Pelodiscus sinensis: one gene and its partners. The protein of the gene in region 1 interacts with the protein of each later gene in a pairwise test. Links are inferred from orthologs where the notes say so. Each region holds a gene or a part of one and is shown in the gene's direction. Other genes may lie near its edges. The genes, in order: MYBPC3, ACTC1 and TRIM63.

Region 1 (7,665 bases):
TGCCCACGAAAACTTAAGCTCCAACACTTCGGTTAATCTATAAGGTGCCACAAGACTCTTCGCCACTTTTGCCTCTACTGCAGGATAGAACATTCTTCCTACAGCGGGACTTTGCTCTTGGGGACCTGCTGATGCCAACTTGCATCATGGGGGATGCGGCCTACCCACTGATGCCGTGGCTCATGAAGCCCTACACTGGCCACCTGGCCCTCACCAGGGAACAATTTAACACACACCTGAACCGAGCCTGCATACAGGTGGAATGCACGTTTGGGCGCCTCAAGCGCCGGTTCATATCCTGCTGACCCGCCTCGACATGGGGGAACGCAACATCCCCAAGGCGGTCTCTGCATGTTGCATGCTCCACAACCTGGTGGAGAGCAAAGGGGAGGCCTTCCTCCTGGGGTGGGGGACACCGGTTGGTGGCAAGGGAAGGCAGTTTGAACAGCCCTGGAAAGCTGCCATACGCCAGGTCTATCAGCTGGGGGGGGGGGGGGGTGTGTATCCGGGAGGCCCTGAAGGAGAGGTTCTCTTAAGGAGCCCAGTAACTCTCCTCAGGGCCTCCCCAATGGAGGCTTGTGCATTGCCCTCCAATACCATTCCCAATACAACCCCTTCCTTCCCCCATTCCCTGCACAATCAATAAAGACACCATTTTTTATTTAAAAATAAACTTTGTTTCAACTTGTAGAAAATGTAAGTAACTGGAATGGAGGGGGACTCAGAACCAAGAGCAGGGAGAGGAAAGGGGGCTCAGAACCTGGAGGGGGGCTGGGAACTATGGGTATGTCTAGACTACATGGCTCTGTCTCCAGAGCCATATAGATTAGTTTACTAGACATACCCAAATGGAGTGGCGATTTAAATAATCGCCGCTTCATTTAAATTAAAATGGCTGCCGCGCTGAGCTGATCAGCTGTTTGTCGGCTCAGCGCGCTAGTCTTGATGCTCCGCGGTCGACATCAAAGGCATTTGTCGACCGCCCCGGTAAATCTCATCCCATGAGGCATAACGGAGCAGTCGACAAATGCCTTTGATGTCGACCATGGAGTGTCCAGACTAGCGCGCTGAGCCAACAAACAGGTGATCGGCTCAGCGCAGCAGCCATTTTAATTTAAATGACCATTTGGGTATGTCTAGTAAACTAATGTATATGGCTTTGGCGACAGAGCCATGTAGTCTAGACATACCCTAGGAGGGGAGCTCAGGGCTGGGAGTGGCACATGGAGCACCTGCCACTGCCGCCTCGGGTCTGGGGACCTCGACAGACTATGGGTTAGGTGGGTTCTGCAACAACAGGGGCCTGGGCAGGAGGGGGGGCTGCTTCAGGGATGGTGGGGGGGCAGGAACGGAGGGGACAGGGGGAGCAGCAATGGAGACAGGACCCGGGTAGGCAATAACTCCCGAATCATGGCACACATGTTATCTCCCTGCTGCACCAGCTCTCCTCACATGCGCTCACGCCACTCAGCCTCCCTACAAGATTTCTGGGCGAGGGTTTGCTGAAGTTTGCAAATGCCCGCTATGTGCTGGCGCATGAGGTTGTAATGAAGCCGCCAGTGCCTTCGGGTCCCATGGCTTCGGCTGGCCAGCTGGACTGGTATGGCTCACTCCTCATCATCGGCTGGTCCGGCTGTGGAGGACAAGAGGGAGAGGAGGTCAGTCATCCCTGAACACGCTGGCTCTGAGGGCGTGCCCTCCTCCGTGAGCAGTGAGCACCTGTCCTTGGTACAGGGGACGCTGATGTCCTGAGAGCAAGGCCACGTGTGGCCTGCCCAGGAGCCCTGGCCTCACAGGGGCCCCGAGGTGCCCAGTGGACCATTCTGCCTGTTCTCCCCGTCCTATGGACAAACAGGCCAGAGAAGTGTCTGGCCACAGGGGATTCCCAGGTGCAAGAGAGTGGCCTGGAGCAGCTTGCACGCACACACACACATACACACACACACACCACTGCACCTGGCAGCGCTGTCTGCGGGAGCGGGTGGTGCCTCACGTATGCACACATGGCCGTGTGGTATGTGCTACACTTGTTGGTCTGTGTGTGGTTGTGAGTATGCCCTTGTGCCCAGCCTGCTTCCAGCAGTGCCTGGTGGGGAGAAGACGTCCCTCCCAGGGGTTGGATGTGTGTGGGGACTCCCCCCAGGCTGTGAGCAGCAGCCCATGTGTGCTTCAGGACTGGCTCCTGAGACCATGTGTCACACACTGCCGCTGCACATACTTGCACGGCCAGCTGCACCCTGCCCAGGCCGAGCATGACAAGTGATGATCATGCCTCATCCCCTGTGCACCTGCCTCCCCCACGCTGTGTGTGTGCCAACCTCACCGCACTCACCTGATGTTCCCTCCCCACCATCAGATGATGCCTGAGACCTGGGGGACTGGCTGCAGGCTGAGGGTGACAACACTGCCAGTGTCCTCCTCCTCCTCCTGCAGCTCGTGGTTGTTGTTGTCCTCCTCTGCCTGGAGCTCTGGCCAGGTGACAATGGGTGTCTCCATCTCAGACTCCACGGGGATGCATGGTGACAGGGCTTCTCACTCCCCAGGATCTGATTAAGCTCCCGTTAGTAGGGGCACGATTGTGGGGCTGCCTTGGAGTGGGAGTTGGCCTCATGGGCCCGCACATAGTCCTGCCGCAGCTCCTTGACCTTTGCCCAGACTTGATCAAGGTTGCAATGGTGGTGACCTCTGTGGGCCAGAGCTTCGGCCATCTGGCTATAAGTGTCGGCGTTTCAGCGCTGCAACCGAACTCCAGGAGGTCCTGGATCTTAGCCCCCGACCACGATGAGGCCCAGCGTTTGGTGCCCCTGGAGGGTCCTGGGACCCTTGGGGAGGTTCCCTGGAAGGGTCAGCGGGACGTCAGGGGCCTTGTGGCTCAGCCATGGCTGCTGGCTGGTGTGGCAGGTAAAGTCACAAAGTCAGACTGCTGCCCTGAGGCCAGCTTCCTGCCACAATGCCTTCCCCGGGTGCCTGCAGCTTTAAGTCCTGGCTGGACACAGGAACTATAGAGCTGTGATTAGTGTAGACAGATTGTCCACCAGGGCACCTGTGCTTTGTCCTGGAGGCCTCTTTTTTTTTAAATAACTGACTCTCCTGCATCCACACACACCTTTTTTTGAAAGAGCTCTTTTAAAAATAGGGGTTCTTCCTTGTAAAATGAAGTTTACGAATGTTGACAAAACTCCTGCGTTCTTTTGATTTAATTTCGAAAGAATGTGATTGCAGGTAAAGTTTTTTTGAAAAAAGGCCAGTTTTTTCAAAAAAACAATGTAGTCTAGACATTCCCTCAGACAGCTTCAAGCAGCAGCCACACAAAGCAACTACTGACCTGATGCTCTGCCTGAACTGGTTCTGGGTGGCCTTAAATGCGATTTAGCATCTAATCAGTGTGGACACACTATTTTGAAATAGCTAAGAGCTATTTCGACATAAGCTATTCCAGAAAATCTGTTCTGGACTAGCTTATTCCAAAATAATGCCGCTGTATAGACATAGGCCTGCAGATAAAGCTACTGCTGCTCATTGGGGTGAATTAACTATCTTGACAGGATAGCTCTCTCCCATCTGCACAGAAGGCTACATGAGAGATCTTGCAGCAGTGCAACTGCATTGGTGCCAGGGCTTCCCTCACCCCAAGGATCTGATTGAGATCCCAGTACTAGGGGCACAATTGTGGGGCTGCCCTGAGGCTGGAGTTGGCCTCACAGGCTGTGCTGCTATAAACTCTCTATTGTAGACACTATTGTATTGTTACGTCCACTATTGTATTTTGTCTTAATTTAGATGTGAGGTCTTTTGAATAGAGACTGTTATTTTATTATGTATCTTATAGTGCTACACAATCAGTTACACCCAGATCTCAACTGTAGCTTCTAGACCCACGGTATCTAACATGGTAGCCACTAGCCATATGTGACTATTTGGCCAATTGAGTGTGGCTAGTTTGACAGTTTCAGAATTGGTTGGACACCACAGTTCTAGATACTACTGCATAGCAAATAATAAACTAGTAACAACTCTGTACAGATATAAGTTACTTCACAGTGCAAAGTACTAACCATCTTTAATGGGTTTCATAAAAAACAAACTAACCAAACAAAATGCTCCTATTTTAGGAGAATGTTAAGATTTCAAAGTAGGAAATGTCATGGTTAAGATACCACATGAACCTTTATTCTGCTCCCATTTCCTCATGCGCATATATTACAAAAGTCTAGTTACATGATCACAAGCTACCAAGTAATTTTTCTATTATCTGAAATACATGAGGTACCTTACCGAACAGCCCATGACTGTTGTGCAAGAGACATAGTATATATTCACAGGTTATAATATGCACCTTGCATGATTGTAGGGAAAACACTATAGGTGGACAGTGTAACAAAATGGCTGAAAGACAGATTATATACCATTATTCAGGATTGCAAATCAGATCAAAAGCTTGGGTTAAAGAGTCTGGTTCTTATTCAAGTATATTCAACGGTGACATAAGCTGTCAAACATGAGGATAAGGAAGACATGGACAAATAAGAAACTGGTTTTTGAGAGCTTGATCTAGAGAGGTGCTGGGCACCCTCATGATCCATTTAAGTTTGTGGAACACAAGAGTACTCAACACCTGCAGGATTGAGTCTTTAAAGTTATATTCCAAATTAGTCAATGTTGTCTATAGTAACAGTCCCACTTGGGGAAGTGAAGAGATTGATGTCATCACTCCACAATGGTAATTCCCTGGAAACAGACAGGAAGAAACAGCTGCTTTACAAAACGCACAAAGAGATTTTTTTCCAAGAATGTAACTTTTTCCAGTGTTCTGATTTAGGAACACGATAAATAGATTTACTGATGCTAGAAATCTGAGAATTACAGCTAGACAAGAATTTCAGAACTTTTTCTTTTGATTTTCTAAAAAATCATGAAGTTTCTCTTTAAATCGATGCACTTCAAAATCACTCTGTTTGCAATTAGTTGAGCATTTATATGCTCAGATGGTATCATGTTATAACAGAAATTATAAAATCATCCTAGGGGAAGCCTGTTATAATTTTAGAAGCAATTTAGCAATCTGCTTTCTACATCACTTAACATAATCACCATTAAACTCCATCTGCCTCAGTGTGGTAGACTTTATAGACTGGTACATCTATTGGTTCTGAGACAGCTCTCAATGGACAACTGGAACAATGCCTACCAATGATAGTTTTCAGGATTTCTTCAGTGCTGATTTTGAAGGTGAGAGCTTCTTCCTTGGTCATGACATTTCTTTTTGGCATTGAGGGTGACTCAGCTCCAAGAATAGCCTAGGAGCAAGATATTTGTCTCTCTCCTGACTTTAAGGAAAAATAGAGAATGCCTCATGAAGAAAAGAGTTATGTCCTTATCCCAAACACAGCTGGCAAAGCAAAACTGTCCTAAAATAGCCTCACAGTTGCTGATAACTGAGGCTGGTGGACAAGTATCATTTCCTCTTACAGGGAAACTGTGATTATTCAAAGAGAGCAAATCTGTGATAAACTGTGTGTGTGAATGGCTGGAAGATCTTAAATCAGGTATTTCCAGCTCACCAGGGAGTTCTGTCAGATAAAAGAGTTCTCATTAGCTTTCGTGTTTCTTCAAGAGGTAGCAGAGAGAGAAAATAACAAACACTGAAATTTAACAAATTCAAATTTAAGATGGAAAAATCTCTGATCAGCAATTTGAGATCTGACAGCCAGGACTCTGAAGGAAGGAAGGCTAGAGTGTTTCCTTAAAAATATAAAAATATAATCTTTGAGCAATTTGATCTCTAATATAAAGCTTCACTGCCTACCATTGTTTTGAAGTCATGCAATATGAAGCTAAACTCTCTGGGAAAAATGTCATGGGGAAGAGGAAATATTTATTGCTAAATATTTTTTGCAAATCATTTTGAATACTCTTTTAGCAAGTAGTTTAAAATAATGATGTTAATTTCCAAGCCAAGATCTTTTTATTTTCTTTAAGTTGATATTTTGAAATATTTTTAGAAACATTGTTAAATCCCCATCTGTGTCTGGTAAGATTTGTCATCTGTGGCATAGGGGTTTGAATAATCATGTGCCCAGCTGTGAAGGGAACCAAAAGAACTGTATTCTCTGTAGTAGTATATTTCATCCAGCTGAACTGTTTTAAGTAACTGTCTGATGAAGGTGAATTGCCCCCAACCCATCACACACTCAAACAGGAGCTGTTCTATAATTTTAGAGAAAGATTGAGCAAATGTGAGAGTCTTACTAGCTTCCAGGAGACTAAGATGAAGTAGAAAACAGTGACATTCTCATCTTCCTTGGAGTTTGGCCCAGTCACATGGATGGAATTTACTCTGGACCCTAATCAGCAAAGTGAAATTATGATTAGTAATATCTTGCAGAAATATGTTACAGCCACTGCTGATTAAGATAATCATTAATACCTCTCTGAGCTTACTAGGCTGCTGATGTACTTGTAGAGCTAATTCCCTCTGTTCTTCCTCTCATTTCATACACTATTAAAAAGTTCATCTATGGTCTACCTATGATTGGGAAGGCCTTTCCAAAAGGACCACTCTTTTCAGTACAGGAAGTCTCCAACTTATGAATGAATTATGTTCCAAAAGTTTGTCTGGAAGTCAGTTGTTTGGAACACAGAACACATTTTTCCATCGTGACAATGTTATAAATAAGGGCTGCTCAACATGTGGCCTGTGATGCAGTTTGGGTTTACACAGGGCTCAACATGGGGCCCGCGGGTGAGATCCCTTGAACATGGCCTCCACTGGGAACATGCTCCACAGCACTGAGGCATCTCCCAGGCGGGGTGAGCACTCAAAAATGCAAGTGGATGGGCTGGATGGAACAGTTGGGTACAGGGTATCGGTGTTTCTAGCCCCTAAGGAGAAGGTGCCGGGAATGCTGGGCATTGTGTGAAAGAAGCTATTTGCATATACTGGCTTATATATTTGCGTGTATATGCAACCACATTTAAGTTGTGGCCCTCAGCATGTGCTTGAGTATCATTGTGGCCTCCGGGGCTTCCAAAGTTGAGTTGCCCTGTTATAAATGGTAGTTAGGTTCCCAGGCTAACCCACAAAAGCCCACTTAACCCATAAGGTAGCTGAAATACTGTATATTTGCAATGAAAAATAGCAGACATTGTTTTTTATTTAACTTTAAAGGCTGGTGCATGAAGAAAGGCAGGTTTAATTAGATGATGAGGAGGAGTTAGGTGGAGATTCTGAAGGGGACTTCTGGGAATCCCCCAGCTGTCATTTCTCCCCTCCCACGCCCAGCTGGCTCTGTGCCAGCTCCTGAGGCCAGCCCCTGGCCACCCTCCCCCATTCACCAGTAGGTGGTGAGCGGTGAGAATGTGGGACGGAGCACTCCGGAGAAGCAGAAGGTGGCTGTGCAGCTGGTGGCTGGAGAGAAGCAGCAGTTTCCTCTTCAAAGTGCCACTTCTCTTCAGCTGTTGACTGTGTGACTGCCCCCTGCTCCTGGGAAGTCCTCCTGGCAGCACTTGCACTGCTCGCCACCACCTGTGCCTCTTGCTTGCTCCCCAGAGGCCAGGGCCATCCTTACCTTAAATAAAATACACTCAACCAGTGAAAGAGCCAATCAAGTTGTAATGAAGCCATTTAACAGGAATTTGCCAACCTCAGGAATATACTGTCAGTTT
Region 2 (8,071 bases), about 19 Mb from region 1:
TTATGAGAATAAATCCCAATTCCAGGCACATCCCATTCCTCACACAACCAAACCCTGACCTTGCTTTAAGTTATCAGAGGAAGCTGCATACCAAATTTGGTGGTCCTAGCTCTTAACATTTGGGAGGCATTCTAGAACAGACAGGCAGACTCACTTGAATATATAGTAGATGGCATATTGCAAATAGTTCGTAAGGGCTAGTGATCCAGTACTTATATTATTTCTCACATCCATCTATATTTTTGACCCTGCTTCTCTCAGCTTCATAACAAACATGCTTTGGATGCATCTCTAGTCTCCTATTGCCCATCTCGCTCTTCCCTCATTTCAGTACACTCTTAAGACACACAAGTTTAATTATAGACACACAGCCCTTTATGAGTGAAAGAGGGAGACATAACAGCCTGCAACTATGTGAAGGGTTTAAATGTGAAGGAGACAGAATGTATTTAGAATGATACATGGGGCTATAACTAGGACAAATAGAATGAAACTAAGAAATGGCGAGGGAGTGAATATCAGATGAAACTGTGTGGCAATGTAGTTATTAAATAGTGGGATAATGTTTCATGGGGAAAGAAAAAACTCAGTCACTTGATTCTTTCAAAATTAGATTGGACAAAATATTAGAAAACGTATCATAAGGAACAATTCTGCATTGGCAGGAATGATCTAATTCTCTTTTTCAGTTCTAGCTTCTATGATTAGAGTGAGTAGGCATATATCCCACATATGTGGAGATGCTAGTCATCTGATAAATTTGTCATGTGCTTTTAGTATTCTTGCCTGCGCTCTGCCCACCATTCAAGATCTGCTGGGATAACTTCTTCCAAAACCGTACGGAACTTTCAAATAGCTGCTATGGAACAAAATAAAATCTGAGATTTTTCCTTGAAAATGTAGAATTTCTCATGAAAATTTCTCCGGCCTGAGGCTCCAGAAGGGCAATATTCAACTCTGATCCACAGACATATTTGAAAGTACAAGATTCCCTTTGGGGGAAGGGAATAGATACAGATGCTTTATGGCAGGGGTGGGAAACTAGCAGCCCTGGCTTGCCTGGATCCATCCCCCCAAGGCTCAGGGCTCCCCCTCTCCAGCACTGGAGAGCCTGTGCTGGCACTCCAGCCCCCCTACTATCCCACCATAGGGCTAGAGCACACAAAATCTACTTGCCTGAGGTTCAGTAGCTTTCTACCCAAAAAAGGTTCCCCACCCCTACTTTATAGCACTGAGGTGGGATGAAGCTTTTGTTCCAAACCCCAGTAGATTACAAGATATTAGACTTTAAAATCATGGCGATATTTCATATGTAACAGGTATTAAATATATTTTTGTTTGTTTCTAAAATATATTAGTTATAATTTTTCTCCCCCACAGAGGTCTGCACAGTGGGTTTCACTATAACTAAGACTAGTGATTTTACAGGGGAAAGGATGCAACAATTGTACCAATAACATGTTTAAAACTTCCAAAAAAACAGTTCTATAACAGAACTTCTGTGAAATATTGCACGTTACCTTAGCAGTTTAGTGTGATAGGAAGGATTCATTGGCACCTATGATCTATAACATCTATATGTAATCTAAAGAATAAGCTGATAGTCAGCAAAATATATGTACAAAGGGTGGCCTGTGCCAACAAAATCTTTTATTAGATGCAGTGTTTACTGTTGTAAATAATCGCATTGAATTCCAAAGGGCAATAAACACTATACTTGGTGGAAAGTGCTTGCAGAATTAGGGCTGTATTTTCCTGTTGATCTTTCCTTCACCTAAAATACTAAAGTGACTAGGAGATTCTAGGCATCTGAACTATCACCACTTTATAATCTTGTTTTTTTAGCATGGAAGAGCTAATAATCCACTGTTTGCATACTGATTGCTTCCAGTTGGTTTGAATGTTGCATCAAGAAAGCAGACTTGCTCCACAAAGCAGCTCTAAGATGCTGTGATTTTAGAAATGAAGTGGCTGCCTTTCTGCATATATGTCACAACTTTGCTAATGAAAAGACGTGTGCTTCCCCATTAACATTTCTTAAAAACTACAGTCTTAATATTTCTGAAGGACAAACCCATTTTTAGTTAGATATGTGAAGAACTATCACTATTGCAGCTCCTTCCACTATCTACTAATCCCTTCTGTTTGCTTTTCTTTTACCTCTAATATACTGTGTGGGCTGTGGGTGGTTCATAAGAAATGCATCCTACAGGTAAAGAGACTAATGATTTCAATCTCTGGACTTCCCCTCAACCCCAGATGATGTTGGGTTTTGCTGCTGTTTGTTGATTTATTTGCTGTTGTAATGTCACTTTAAATTTTTGGCAGACAGAAGGATGATTTTGGCCAAAGAAATGAATTTATCTGGGTACTTTTGAAATGGTTATGAGGAAACAGATGCCAGTTTGGATTCAATACACTGCATGGTTCCCTTTTCCTTTGACCTTGTCATGTACAGTAAGGAGAAAGATTTTTTTTTTTTAGCTTTCAAGGACATCAGTATTCTAGTTTCAAGTCCTATTGTGTTTTAATTAGAAAACTATAATTTGAGCAAGTAGGAGTGAAAGCAGATATATGTTTAAAAATGAAATGCACAGGAAAGGTCCGGCGTAGGACCAACTGTCCCTGGTAAGTCTTGCACACAAGTGCTGTCTTTATTTGTCTCAGTTTTCAGACACACTCATTCTTTCTCCAGCCAAATGGAACATAGGATGTGACAGGGAGGGTCTGAGATTGGAGGAATTCAAAGTGGCTATCAGTAACAGACTTCTATGTAAATACTGTAACACCTCTGAATGGAAGGACAGCTGAGATAACACTGTAGGCTAATCTTTACTGCTGGTGAAAAAGGCCAATCTCCAGCATTATTCAGTTTCTGCAGAAAAAATGAACTTTAGGAAGAAGGAAAAACTGGACAAGAACAACTAGACATTACATGTGGGAAGCTGCCATTGAATCAGAAATGTAATAAAAATGGAAAATGAAGTATTAAACACATTACTAATTTGAAACCACACCCTTTCCGCACACTATAGCCTATATATATCATATATACACTGATGGATAAATATATAAACATATTTAAATATTTATAATTATGTAAAGTATTTGTCTATACTCACTTTGTGTGCCTTGTCATGCCAATATTTGATTAATTTTTACACCAAATTCCAATAAATTTAATGCATGTGAAGTTTGTCTTTCTCTCTGATTCCTAAAGCAGAAGTATGTGAAGCCTAGCCCTCCACTTCAATGACCTCTTTCTGTCATTGTAATTTATAGCTTTGAACCATCCTTTCATATATATCTGGGCTAGTTTTAAGTATTTTTTTTTAAATTGTCATTGTGTCTCACCTGAAACAATGTGGGTCTTTTCAAAGGTTTTAGAATAAAGCAGCAGCCAACTGCGGCTAAGATGATTGTTGCAATATCTTAAAAAAAAATGTTCATAAATGGGCACAACCCCAAGATGAGCTGGGGAGGGGCTGGTACAAGTAGGTTAGCCAGAGCTAAACTTCTGATTAACTACTTACGCTATTACACAATATTTGTTGCATCTATTATCTCTACAGGAGAAATTTAAAGTGCAAGAGTCTCTGCCACCTCCTTGAAGTACAATATAGAAATGAATAGTATGGATCCTCTGTAATTTCCACTCACACTTTTTGTTGAGGCCATTTCTCGGTGCAAAGACAGCACAGAAAAGCTGCAGCAGACTACAAATTACACTCAAAGATTCTTTCCTCCCACATCTTTTAAGATATACATGGGTGTTTGATAGAAGTGATCCTTATCAGCATCTAATATGTTTCATGCACAAGATTTGTATTTGAGTGACTGATCTGGCTGAGCTGCTGCTACTTCTCTTGCCCTCCGCCCCTTTCCCTTGGGCTCAGATTTTACTTCCCAAGAGTGAGCAGCGTAGGCAGACATTAACATGTCTGGGTAGTTTACAAGCTGAGCTCCCGAAGGACACTACTCTGCAGTATAATAAAGTTCCTTTAGGAAACTCGTTGACAATCTGTGCCTTCACATACCAGGCCAAACCCACTCAAGGGATGCCTCTCCAGTCTTTCTATTTTTAACCGAAAAAAAACCCCTTTAAGATATATGGATCTTCTAGGTTTCACTGCTGGAACAAATTATCAATGTGGATGTTTCAGCAACAGAGCAGGAAAACAACTGCCACATTACATTAATACCATGGCTGCTTTTGTTCAAGCTGTTTCCATCTCTCCCTCCCTCCCTCACACATCACTATGCATTACTGATTCAGTATGCACTAAAAGTACAAAAATGGGGAGTTTATATATGCGGTATTGTAAGCCAACAGATACTGCTTTCACTGCCCATTGCCTACCAAAAGCAAAGGAGGGCACAATTTTTTTCCTATGTGTATTAACCAAAGTTTAGAGACAATTAAAATGTGCATTGCTTCTTGCTGAAGCAATGCAGGGAGCAAATGTTGTCTTCTGCCTTTTTCCCAAGAGCAAAACCTGAGATTGTAGCTACCAATGACAGCCTCACACATCGGCCTGCTCACCTGCTGTCTTTTCAATAGTGGGGATATTATCAGTTTCAATATAAAAGTAAGGGCGCAACCATCCCCAAACAAATGCATTTTGATATTAATGGTCCAACTATTATCTCCTTTAAATGTCACCCATCACTTGTCCCAGTTACTTATTTCCCAAGCTGCAGTCACACATGCCAGACACTATGGCAACTAGAGCTTAATTCATTGATCTTTCTCAGCTTTCTGGTTATTTAAAACAGCAAGATGGAACACTTCTTTCATTCATCTTTTTAAAAATATTGGCCTCCAGAACAAGTATGCATGATTTGTTCACAGGATCTCCCTATTTGGCCATCCCATTTGCTGTTAGAATGTCACCCCCTTGCTTTCCTTACATGGCCTGTTGGGCCCTGTAGCCTACTCTGACTTTTGCCTTCCCTTACTCCATTAATGGCTTCTCTGCTACTCAATGGAGTGAAGCCTACCAAATAAGGAAAAGGTGGCTAGCTTGTCCCTCAGGAGCCTGGGACTGCCGCTGCCCTCAGGAAGTATAAATTGGTGTATCTGCCTCTGAGTCACTACCCAGCCTTTTTTCTCAGGAACGCCACGCAGTAGGTGCTGATCTGGTGAGTAATACCGCTGAGCAGCCCATCAGCCAAGTTCCTAGCACAGCTGTAGAAGGCATCTTTGGGGCAATTAGAAGAGCGGGCTGAAAAGAGAAGACGCTGCCTGGATTTCTAGCGACCACCTTGGAGGAGCTGCTTTGCGCAAGGGCTAATTTTGTGTCGGGTTTGGGGTGAGGGCTGGGAAGGAGGGACTGAAGCCTAGAAGCTTTTCATTCATTCATTCCTCATTACATCCACTGCTTTTAAAACAAGAGTGGTCGGCACATCTTGGCGGCCTGGGGAATTATAAGACACCACAACGTGTTGTGTGTGAGATCCCCCTCCACCCCAGCTCTCAAAAGTGTGCTTGTCCTTCAAACAAAGAGATCTTTTGAGAGACATCGCTTTCAAGTCGTTCTAATGATGCTTAGCAGAAGAAGTTGTAGGGCGTTTGAAGAACTTGAAGGGGTGGGAGGGGGGGTTAGTTGCCCAGACCCTCCCCAAAGGCTTGGAGAAGCGTTTGCGCTATGTAGCAACTTCCCCTGCCAGATCTACGGTCACTGCAGGCAGTCGCTCTGAGGGATCAGTCATAATGAGGAACAACTGGAGGGAAAGGTCTGCCAAGAACGGCCCCCTGTGTGTGGTGATCAGACAGGGAGGGAGGGGGATTATTGTCTGATAGTTCTCACTGCGCGGGAGGGAGCTGCTCAGGCGAGACCCCGCGGGGTAGAGAAAGTTGCCCCCGCGGTGTGTGTGGGTGTGTGTGTGTGGGGGGGGGGGGGTGTAACGTGGCCGGGAAGGGCGCGCTGCTGCCTGCGGGCTCTGGACACGCGGCTGGGCTGTCTTGCAGATCCCTGCCCGCCGCCCAGCATGTGTGACGACGAGGAGACCACCGCGCTCGTGTGCGACAACGGCTCCGGGCTGGTCAAGGCCGGCTTCGCCGGAGACGATGCCCCCAGAGCCGTCTTCCCGTCCATCGTCGGCCGCCCCCGGCACCAGGTAACTGCCCCGCGACTCGCCCAGGGGGCAGGATGCGCAGCCGCGTGCGCTGCGCTCCCCCGTGCTCGTCCCCAGCCACCTCCTCCTGCGGCGCCTCGCAGCTCTGCTTCTCTTACCCCCTTGTGCTCCTTCAGACCCCGCTTCCCCCCTCTGACCTTCCCATCTCCTTGCACTCCTCCGGCGCCGCACGCCTCAAACCCCGCATCTTTGCCCTCCTGAACTTTCTCCTCCCCAGTCTTCACATCCTAGCCTCTCAGATCGTATCTGTCATCGCCTCCCTCTCCCCACTGGGCCTCGGTTTCATTCTTCACAGCCTTATCTCTTTAACCTTAGCTCCTCTCTCTCAGCTGTCTAGTTTCTCCTAATTTCCCTCCCGCGTGGACCAGAGCTCCAGCAGGTGGAAATCCATCTAGCTCCATTCATTGAATTTACAACACCTGAGCCAGGATCTGTCCTTAGACCTTTGCCTCCTCACATAGCTCATCATCTAACCCTTCACACCACTGCCCTTCCCCTTGAATCCCTTTATCTATTTCTTCTGTTACCCTGGAACTCCTTACTCATTTTCTATTTACCCCCCAGATCCTTTCCCCTTCCTCTTATCTCCTTATAATGCTACTTTTCCTCCTTTCATCCCCTTATCTCTCCATATTATGAACATTAAATCAGTATATAGAAGACTTTTAGTAAACTGTGCCCCCTTCCCGCAAAGGAGCTATAAATTACATGCAAAAAATAAATAAAAGCTCAGAATTGACATTTGATATTATGGGCTCAGTGATAAAAACACTAATACGTAATTCATTTTTTTTGTTTACTACATGAGATAAGCCCCTCCTCTCTTTTATTTATAATATACTATTTGGCATGAAGTCCAGAATGCCACGGTTGTATTTGCTTCCTAGTTTATGAATGATTGACTACATTGGTAGATACATTTCACTGTAATGGGGATAGCTATAAAAATGTTCTCTCATCCAGCTATTCATATTTATGATATTGTGCAGATTACTTTCCAACTTAGCCTTAGATATTTGGGAATGAGCTGGATGAGTCTTTTTTTTGTTGGTTGTCACTTTGATTAAATGAAGTAGGATTTTTTTTTTAAAGGATTCAGCCATGTGTTGACTTAATTAATATTCAAAGTAACTGTTACTTTCTGTATTTAAACACATTTTGGCATAGCTCTTCATTTCTCTCTCCTTTGTCCCAAATAAAATATTAATCTCTTGGGTACAATTAAATCTGTGCTTAATGATGGTATTTCCCACCCAGACAAAGTTTCTTTATATTTTCCTCCTTTAGGGAGTTATGGTTGGCATGGGTCAGAAGGATTCCTATGTAGGTGATGAGGCTCAGAGCAAGAGAGGTATCCTGACACTGAAATATCCTATTGAACATGGCATCATCACCAACTGGGATGATATGGAAAAGATCTGGCACCACACATTCTACAATGAACTGCGTGTGGCCCCTGAGGAACACCCTACTTTGCTTACAGAGGCTCCTCTAAACCCTAAAGCTAACCGTGAAAAGATGACCCAGATAATGTTTGAGACCTTCAATGTGCCAGCCATGTACGTGGCAATCCAGGCTGTCTTGTCCCTATATGCCTCTGGTCGTACCACAGGTAAAAATAACTGATTGCTATAGGAATGTTTCCTTTCAACCCCTCAACTCCAAAAGAAAATAGAAAACTGTGAGCAGTCTCTAACACATTCACAGTCACACAAAGATAGATGTCTTTCAAACATGGCACTTGTAAAAAAAAATCATCAAAACAGTCTGCTGAATGTACAAAAGAATACTAACATAAGACTCTGTAACCATGGTTCAGTTCATTGTTCTGCCACATATTTCTTCTGTGACCTTGGGCAAGTCACTTAACCGCTCTATTTTCCTTTTAAAATGAGGATAATATTTATTTACTTCCATAGGAATGTTTTGAAGC
Region 3 (7,526 bases), on another chromosome or scaffold:
CAAAGCTGTGGCCCTGTATTCCAAAGCCGTGGCCCTGAGTGCCAAAGCCGTGGCCCTGTATTCCAAAGCCATGGCCCTGAGTGCCAAAGCCGTGGCCCTGTATTCCAAAGCCGTGGCCCTGAGTGCTGAAGCCGTGACCCTGTATTCCAAAGCCGTGGCCCTGAGTGCTGAAGCCGTGGCCCTGTATTCCAAAGCCATGGCCCTGTATTCCAAAGCTGTGGCTCTGCGTGCTGAAGCTGTGACCCTGTATTCCAAAGCCGTGGCCCTGAGTGCTGAAGCTGTGGCCCTGTATTCCAAAGCTGTGGCCCTGAGTGCTGAAGCTGTGGCCCTGTATTCCAAAGCCGTGGCCCTGTATTCCAAAGCCGTGGCCCTGTATTCCAAAGCTGTGGCCCTGTATTCCAAAGCCGTGGCCCTGTGTGCTGAAGCCGTGACCCTGTATTCCAAAGCTGTGACCCTGTATTCCAAAGCCGTGGCCCTGCGTGCTGAAGCCGTGGCCCTGTATTCCAAAGCCGTGGCCCTGCATGCTGAAGCCGTGGCCCGCAGCCACAGGGATTTATTCTTGCAGCTCCGTGCAGGGCCCTGCAGCAGGAGCTAACGACTGGCTGGGTTCCCGGCAGTGCCGGCCAGCACACGGCTCGCCATGACAGCCAGCAGGGCCACTGCACCAGCGAGAGGCGTCCCGGTGCTGACTGTGCCCTGGCGTGGCTGGGCTGCTAGCCCTGCGGCTCCAGGCCAGTGTTTCTCCAGCAGGCTCCCTGGGGGGCCGTGAGCAGGTTCCAGGGGGGCTTCCACAGCTGGCCACCGTCCCGCGGAGCAGACACGCGCGTCGGGTCCCATTCCAGCAGCGCTGGGCCACGTGGGGAGTGCGCGAGGAGGCAGGTACCTGGGCAGTGAGCCAGCAGGAGCAGGCGGTTTTCTACCTGCCCGTGGCTATTCCTGGCCCACGAGCCGCCAGTCCCAATTCCAGCTGGTCTGTTTTGACCGTGGGGCCCCTGCCCCGGGGACGTTTGGATTCCTGGGGCTGGGGGCCCCCGGCAGCTGGCCTGGCTTGTTCTCCCGGCGGGGGGAGCAGACCGGATGGTTTTCACTCCCGAGCGGGAGTGAATCACCTGCCGCGCACGAGCCCTTCTGCTAAGGAGCTGGGGACAGGCCCAGCCGCCCGCCTGCCCTTGTCAGGGGTTCCTGGGAGTCCCTGAGCGGCACGGGCAGAGCTGCCGCTATTTACCCAGAGGGCGCGGACGGCGGCGCTACCCAGGCACCTTGCGGATGCCGGGACGAGAGAGCGGCTGACACCCTGTACGCACACCCCCGGGTGTCGAAAATAGGACCCTAGGCCTGCCGAGGGGAGTGACGGCGCGTCGGGGTCCCCCCTGAGCCTGCACCCCCGCAGCAGCAAGAACAGACTCTGCAGCCAGTAGAACAGGGGGGTTTCTTGCTTCTCCGGGGTACAGCCCAGCACAGACGGGATGTGGCTACAGGAGTCAGGGCCAGGCTGCCTCAGCCCCCTCGGGTTAGGGGGTCCATCGCCCCCCAACCCTCTGCACCCAGCTTAGTCTGTTCCCTTCCCAGGAACTGCCTCCCTCCCAGCCCTGCCCCCCAGCCCGGTGACTGTCTCCGCCTCCCTCCCGTTGTCTCTCCCCCTGGGAAGAGCCCTGTTACCTGCCCAGGCTGGGACTAGGTGTCTGGGCCAATCCACGTGTGGGTGAGTCCGTGGGAATCGCACAGCGCAAGGGGACCCCGGGTTGCAGAGCAGACACCCCCCCACTACGTCACAAGGTTGCGTCTGTTCTGTACACCGAGAGAACCTGACTGAGGACTGCGTGAGCATGCTCGTAGGGGTGGCCGTTGATCCGGGGGTACCGCACTGGGGAGCCGGGAGAGCTCGGAGGAGCTGTACGGCTGCCGTTAATAGGGGTTCCCATCAGGTTCCTTCGAATGGTTCCCATGCGCGTGCGGGATGGACTCTGTTAGGTGTGTCAATGTGGAGGTGATGTGTGAGCGTCTCCTGCTCCGAGGAGTCCCGGGGCACCGGAAAGGTTCTGGGCCCCAAGCGTGGGATGGACCCGTCGGTCTGGCAGGGCTACCTGCGCCTGCCCGGAGGGGAGCGATCCGTTACTTTGCGGAGGGCCCGTGCTAACGAGGCCCGGTCCCCCAGCTGATGAGAAGGCGGGGACGCCGAAGCAGCCCCTCCCGGTCCGACGGGGAGAGTTCGCGAGCGACTCCCACGCGGCGCTTTCGCGCTGGGGTCTGGCTGGGGGGTCGTTTTGCTGATGTCTGGCTTCTTCCAACGCTGTTACTGAGCATCCAGGGAGCCCGAAGCCTCCTGCAGTTTGCATGTGACCCAGCCTGGTGCCTGGCTTGTGCCCGTTCCGGCTGCTGCGTGGAGAATGGCGGGTGTGGCCGGCATGCCAGGTGGGGAAGGCAGCCTGGCCCCGCCCACACTCCGCAGGCCTACCTGCTGCGGGGGCCACATGCTGCCTGAGGGGGGAGGCAATTTGGCTCCCGTGGGGGCGGGGCCTGGGCAGAAGGGGCGGGGCTAGGGGCAGGCTGGGGACTTTCCTCGGCCCGCCCTACGCTCACCCACTGCCCATGCCGAGGGGCATTGCTGGCCCGCGGGGCGGACGGCCTGCTCGTGGCTGTGCAGGCGGCCGAGCCCCCGATGGCCTGGCTGCTTGGCTGGGCCTGGGACGGGGTCACCGCCATAGCGGGGCACATAACAAAATCCATGTGTCGGGGGTGGGGCCGAGTGGTTTGGAGGGCGGCAGGGCTCTGGCTGGGGCCGGGGTGAAGGGTGTGGGGGTCAGGCTGCCCTAGGGCGGCAGCTGCAGGGAGAGAGTGGACTCCCCCAGGCCTCTTTCCCTGCAGCAGCCCCTGGGCGTGGGGGAGAGGCCCTCCCTGAGCACGCGCCTGGCCCGGCAGCTCCTGTGCTGCACAACGGGGATGAGCCCTGGGCGGGGACGTGTCGCATTGACCGCAGGGGGAAGGGCCGGCCAGGTTCACGGGCACGAGGAGGGTTAAACCCTGGGGGGTGGTGGAGGGTCCCTCACTGGACACGCGCCTGCCCGGGATGCTCAGACGGTGCCTGGCCCTGCCGAGAGGCTCGAGGTCCCTTCCCATCCTACGACTCTGGGGTTCGATGATTTTAACACAATGGAGGATCCCCGAGTCCCAGGCCTGGGAGGTGCCCTCGGGCGGCTCCCCACCCCTGGCACTGGGGGTGTCTGGTGCTACCTGCAGGACCCATGGCCGGGCTGGGGGCTGTGACGGTCTGAGGAGCAGCCAGCAGAGTCTGGGGGAGTTGTGGGGCTTGGGTGGAAATCTGTGATGCCCAGCAGGGACCTCGGGCCGAGGCTGAACAGGGCGGGTGCTGGAGCAACCAATCCCAGCTGCATGGACAATACGGTGGGGGCTAATTTAGCTCCAACCACTCGAGAGATCTTGGAGTCCCAGTGGGTCGTTCTCTGAAAACATCCCCGCAGTGCAGCAGCCGTCACAAAGGCAAACGGGACGTTAGGAGTCATTAGCAAAGGGACAGAGCGTAAGACAGAGAATATCTCGTTGCCTCTATAAAACCATGGTGCACCCACAGCTTGAATACCGTGTACAGACGCGGTCGCCTCATCTCAAAAAAGATCTCTTGGCATTGGAAAGGGGTCAGGAAAGGGCAGCAAAAGTGATCAGGGGTTTGGAACGGGTCCCATCTGAAGAGAGATTAAAAAGTCGGGGACTTTTCTGCTTACAAAAGAGGAGACTAAGGGGGGATAGGACAGAGGTCTATAAAATCATGACGGGTGTGGAAAAAGTGAATAAGGAAAAGTTATTGACTTTTTCCCACAATATAAGAACTAGGGGTCACCACATGAAATTAGCAGGCAGCAGGTTTAAAACAAACAAAAGGAAGGTTTTCGTCACTCAGTGCACAGTCAACCCGTGGAACTCCTCGCCAGAGGATGTGGTGAAGACTAGGACTTTAACAGGGTTCAGAAAAGAGCTAGCTAGATTCCTGGAAGTTAGGTCCATCAATGGCTGTTCGCCAGGCTGGGCAGGGATGGTGTCGCCAGCCTCTGTTTGTCTGGACATGGGTGACGGGAGGGATCACATGAGGATTCCCTGTTGTGTTCCCTCCCTCTGGGGGATCTGGCACTGGCCGCTGTGGGCAGACAGGCCACTGGGCTGGATGGGCCTTTGCTCTGACCCCGCCTGGCCGCTCTGATGTTCTTAAGGGGGTCACTTAACCCTTTGCGATAGGGACGCGGAGGCCGGGTGGGGGTCACAAGGGGGATGACTCTGTTTACAGCTGCGTCTCCAGTGTCTTTGTTTGGAAAGACACTGCAAAATCCCAGGAACTGTGGCTGGGCCAGCCCCGGACAGGCCGTCCCCTGCCCTGTTTACAGCCCGCTCCCCCCAGGGGCACCGATTGCTCATTCTCCCATGTGACAGGCAGGCCGCTGGAAACTCGAGCCCCTCTCCAGCACATGTGACTCTGCCCTAAATTATAAATAGGCAGGGAGAGGGGCAAAGGCAGGAGCCCAGGCTGAGCCGCAGGGAAGGAGCCAGAAGCTTGAGCTCAGAACTTGGTGCAGCTGAAGAAGGCAGGCGGAGCCGGGAGAGTTCCCTGAGGAGCTGTCGACACCGGCGTTGGGATATACCTGGGGAGGCCGCCCAGCGCCATGGATTACCAGCCCAGCATCATCCGAGACCCCAGCCCCATGGAGAACCTGGAGAAGCAGCTGATCTGCCCCATCTGCCTGGAGATGTTCAACAAGCCCGTGGTCATCCTGCCCTGCCAGCACAACCTGTGTCGGAAGTGCGCCAGCGACGTCTTCCAGGTGAGTGCCTGGCCCGTGGCTGGGCCACTTCCTGTGCCTGGCTGCAGGCGGGGGGGAGGCTGCCGTGAGCTCCCGGGGACCGAACCGGAGGCTGCTCGCGGGGTGGCTGAGGGCTGGAAGGGCCAGGCTTCCCTGGGCGCTCCCCTGTCAGGAGCCGGGCAGGGCGGGGTAGACTCCGGGCTTGTGTAACCCAGAGGCCACTGACAAGGAAAGTTCGCTCCAGGCCGCAGCTGGGAGCTGGTGGGTTTTCAGATCATGCCATAGAGTGTTGTGGCTTTAGCCCCGAAGGTCGCAGGTTCAATCCCGCCTGTCGGCTTTCCAAGATTCTGGCTCCAAGTGCTCTAGCTTGTGCCCTTCCAGGCTGTGCTTGTCTGTCAGAGCGGAGGGGGCAGCGTCTCGCTCTGCGTTTATCTAGGACGCTGGTGAAAAAATCCCCGTGACTTCAACGGCCTGGGAATGAGCCGGCTTGGCACCTGGTTCTAGAAAGGACCCATCCCCCTGGTCTCCTCTCTTGGCTGAGCCGGGCTAGGAGCCAGCTGATAAACCCGATGGCTGGGCCCCCTCTCGCTGAGCTGTGCTGCTCACGTCCAGCGTTCCCAGCAATAGAGGAAGGAGGAGAAGACCAGGCAGGAAGGGAGCGATGGGACCCGCTGCAGGGCCGGCTGCAGGCTGTGCCGGCGGGGGTGTAATTGACCGTGGGTTCCTGGCACTTCCCCCATGTGCAGACCCCCTTGACTCCTGGCAATGGGCAGAATGTCGAGGTCCCTGCAGCTCAGATTCCTCCCTGGGAATTTTGCCAAAAAGTCGGCTTCTCCATCCCCCCGCCCCGTGTGCTTGGCCACTTCTCATAGGATCACGGAGCCCTGGGGCGGGCGGAGCCCTCAGGAGGCACCGAGTCCAGCCCCCTGCCCAAAGCAGGACCCATCCCAATGAAATCTCCCCATCGCCAAGAATGGAGACGCCAGCCCCTCCCTAGGGAACCCAGCCCAGCGTCCCCCACCCGCCTGGGGAAGTCGCTTTTCCTAATCTCCCCCCTAGACCCCCCCGGCAGTGCAGGGTCAATGCTGCAGGCGCCCGCTGGGCAAGAGGGAAATTCTAACTGGGCGACGTTTCTTGGCTGCCCCAGAAGTGGTGGAGCGGTGGGGCCGTGGGCCCTGGGCCAGGCCCTGGAGGTCTGGTCCCTTCCGAGCCCGTTGTACACTCCCGGAGCCCGCGCGCTCGGAGGCGTTTCTAACCCGTGAACGACGGACGCCTCTCAGCACCCCCATGCCCTGTGCCCAGCTCAGGAGCAGGAGGGGGTGGCTGCGGCAGGGGGCTGCGACTCAGGACTCCTGGCTCCATTCCCAGATCTGCCCCTTGGCCACATTGCCTCAGGGGTTTTGCTTTGCCTCGGGCGCCCAGCTGTGCCCGGGAGACATTTGCCTCCTTCCTGGGGTTTTGTGAGCCGTAATTCCTCGCTCACCGGGTGCAAAGCATTATGGGATCTGCGCCCCGCGGGCGATGGGCGGGGCTGGGATGCAGGCTCTGTCCCTGGGGGATGCCGAGGGGCGGGGTTCACACGAGTCCACGTGACTGTCTCGACTGCGCAGTGGTGAGCGTTAGGCGTGGGCGGCGGGTACTGTAGGCAAGGGAAGGCGTCGCCGTCTGCCGCCACCCCACAGCTGCTGGGGAAAGGTGGGGCCATGGCGCAGCAGCCCCAGCCCTCCAGGTGGCCAGGAAGGATGGAGCTGGGGGTGGGCGGGGCTCGGCTCCACAGGGGTGTGGGGAAGGGGCGGGGCTGGGACTTGCCTTCCCCAGCTGGGCCTCCACCCGTCCATAGTTTTGGGCCTGTGGCAGGTGACTGGGGTGACCTTTGCCCTTGTGCTGCCGGCACTCACAGGCGGCGAATCCGTACTGGCAGAGCCGGGGAACCACCCTCTCTGGGGGGCGCTTCCGGTGCCCCTCCTGCCGCCACGAGGTGATCCTGGACCGGCACGGCGTCTACGGGCTGCAGCGGAACCTGCTGGTGGAGAACATCATCGACATCTACAAGCAGGAGTGCTCCAGGTGAGCCCCGCGCCCGCCCGCGCCAGCAGCCCCGCCAGTTCCCGGGTGCGGACAACAGGCAGGCAGGGGAATAGGAGGCAGGGAGTGTTCACACAGCAGCAGGTGCAGATCTGGATTCCGAGGTCTGAAAGGAGTTAACCGATGAATTTCCTGAATCGCTGGCATGGAGGCAGAGACAGGTGCTCTATGGGGCAAATATGGTACCAGGCTTTGAAAGGGGGGGGCCGGGGAGGTCTGCAGAATCAGCAAATACCATCTCCCAAGTGGAGTTCCGAAGGCGCGATAAGAGCAGCAGCTGGTCTACACGGTTCCACTCTCACGTGCCTAGAATCAGTAACATGTCCCATCCCCCTCCCCAGCCTGTTGCAAACGGGGAACTGACCCTGGGCTCATGGGTTAATGGTCACAGTTACCTGCAGTCTCCCGGTGCATGGAGAGCTGGGTTAAAAGCCAGCTCCGGGGTGCACCGGCTCCCAGGGAGTCCACTTTTGCCCCACCTGTAACCATGTGACCACTGACATATTTTATTGGTTGCACGGTTCCTTCGTTCCACACATTTTAACTTCCCGACTGATAAAAACAAACTGTGCCCAGAGCAGCACGGCCGCGGCTTTGAGAGTCATGTTGCAGGGAGGAGGGAGCGAACACAGT

The links.
Region 2: the proteins of MYBPC3 (region 1) and ACTC1 interact in a two-hybrid assay, tested with the Homo sapiens proteins (2 studies listed by IntAct). The link is inferred for Pelodiscus sinensis from reciprocal best matches to the Homo sapiens genes MYBPC3 and ACTC1.
Region 3: the proteins of MYBPC3 (region 1) and TRIM63 interact in a two-hybrid assay, tested with the Homo sapiens proteins (2 studies listed by BioGRID and IntAct). The link is inferred for Pelodiscus sinensis from reciprocal best matches to the Homo sapiens genes MYBPC3 and TRIM63.

What each region holds. Positions count from the first base shown.
Region 1 is NC_134714.1:74,657,798-74,665,462, forward strand, and holds the start of MYBPC3 (myosin-binding protein C, cardiac-type), read left to right. Parts: upstream 1-4,656; 5' UTR 4,657-5,180; coding exon 5,181-5,229; intron 5,230-7,665. UniProt on the Homo sapiens protein: Thick filament-associated protein located in the crossbridge region of vertebrate striated muscle a bands. In vitro it binds MHC, F-actin and native thin filaments, and modifies the activity of actin-activated myosin ATPase.
Region 2 is NC_134714.1:55,501,237-55,509,307, reverse strand, and holds the start of ACTC1 (actin, alpha cardiac muscle 1), read left to right. Parts: upstream 1-4,990; 5' UTR 4,991-5,142; intron 5,143-5,971; 5' UTR 5,972-5,991; coding exon 5,992-6,120; intron 6,121-7,425; coding exon 7,426-7,750; intron 7,751-8,071. UniProt on the Homo sapiens protein: Actins are highly conserved proteins that are involved in various types of cell motility and are ubiquitously expressed in all eukaryotic cells.
Region 3 is NC_134735.1:1,664,536-1,672,061, reverse strand, and holds the start of TRIM63 (E3 ubiquitin-protein ligase TRIM63), read left to right. Parts: upstream 1-4,510; 5' UTR 4,511-4,670; coding exon 4,671-4,829; intron 4,830-6,708; coding exon 6,709-6,875; intron 6,876-7,526. UniProt on the Homo sapiens protein: E3 ubiquitin ligase. Mediates the ubiquitination and subsequent proteasomal degradation of CKM, GMEB1 and HIBADH.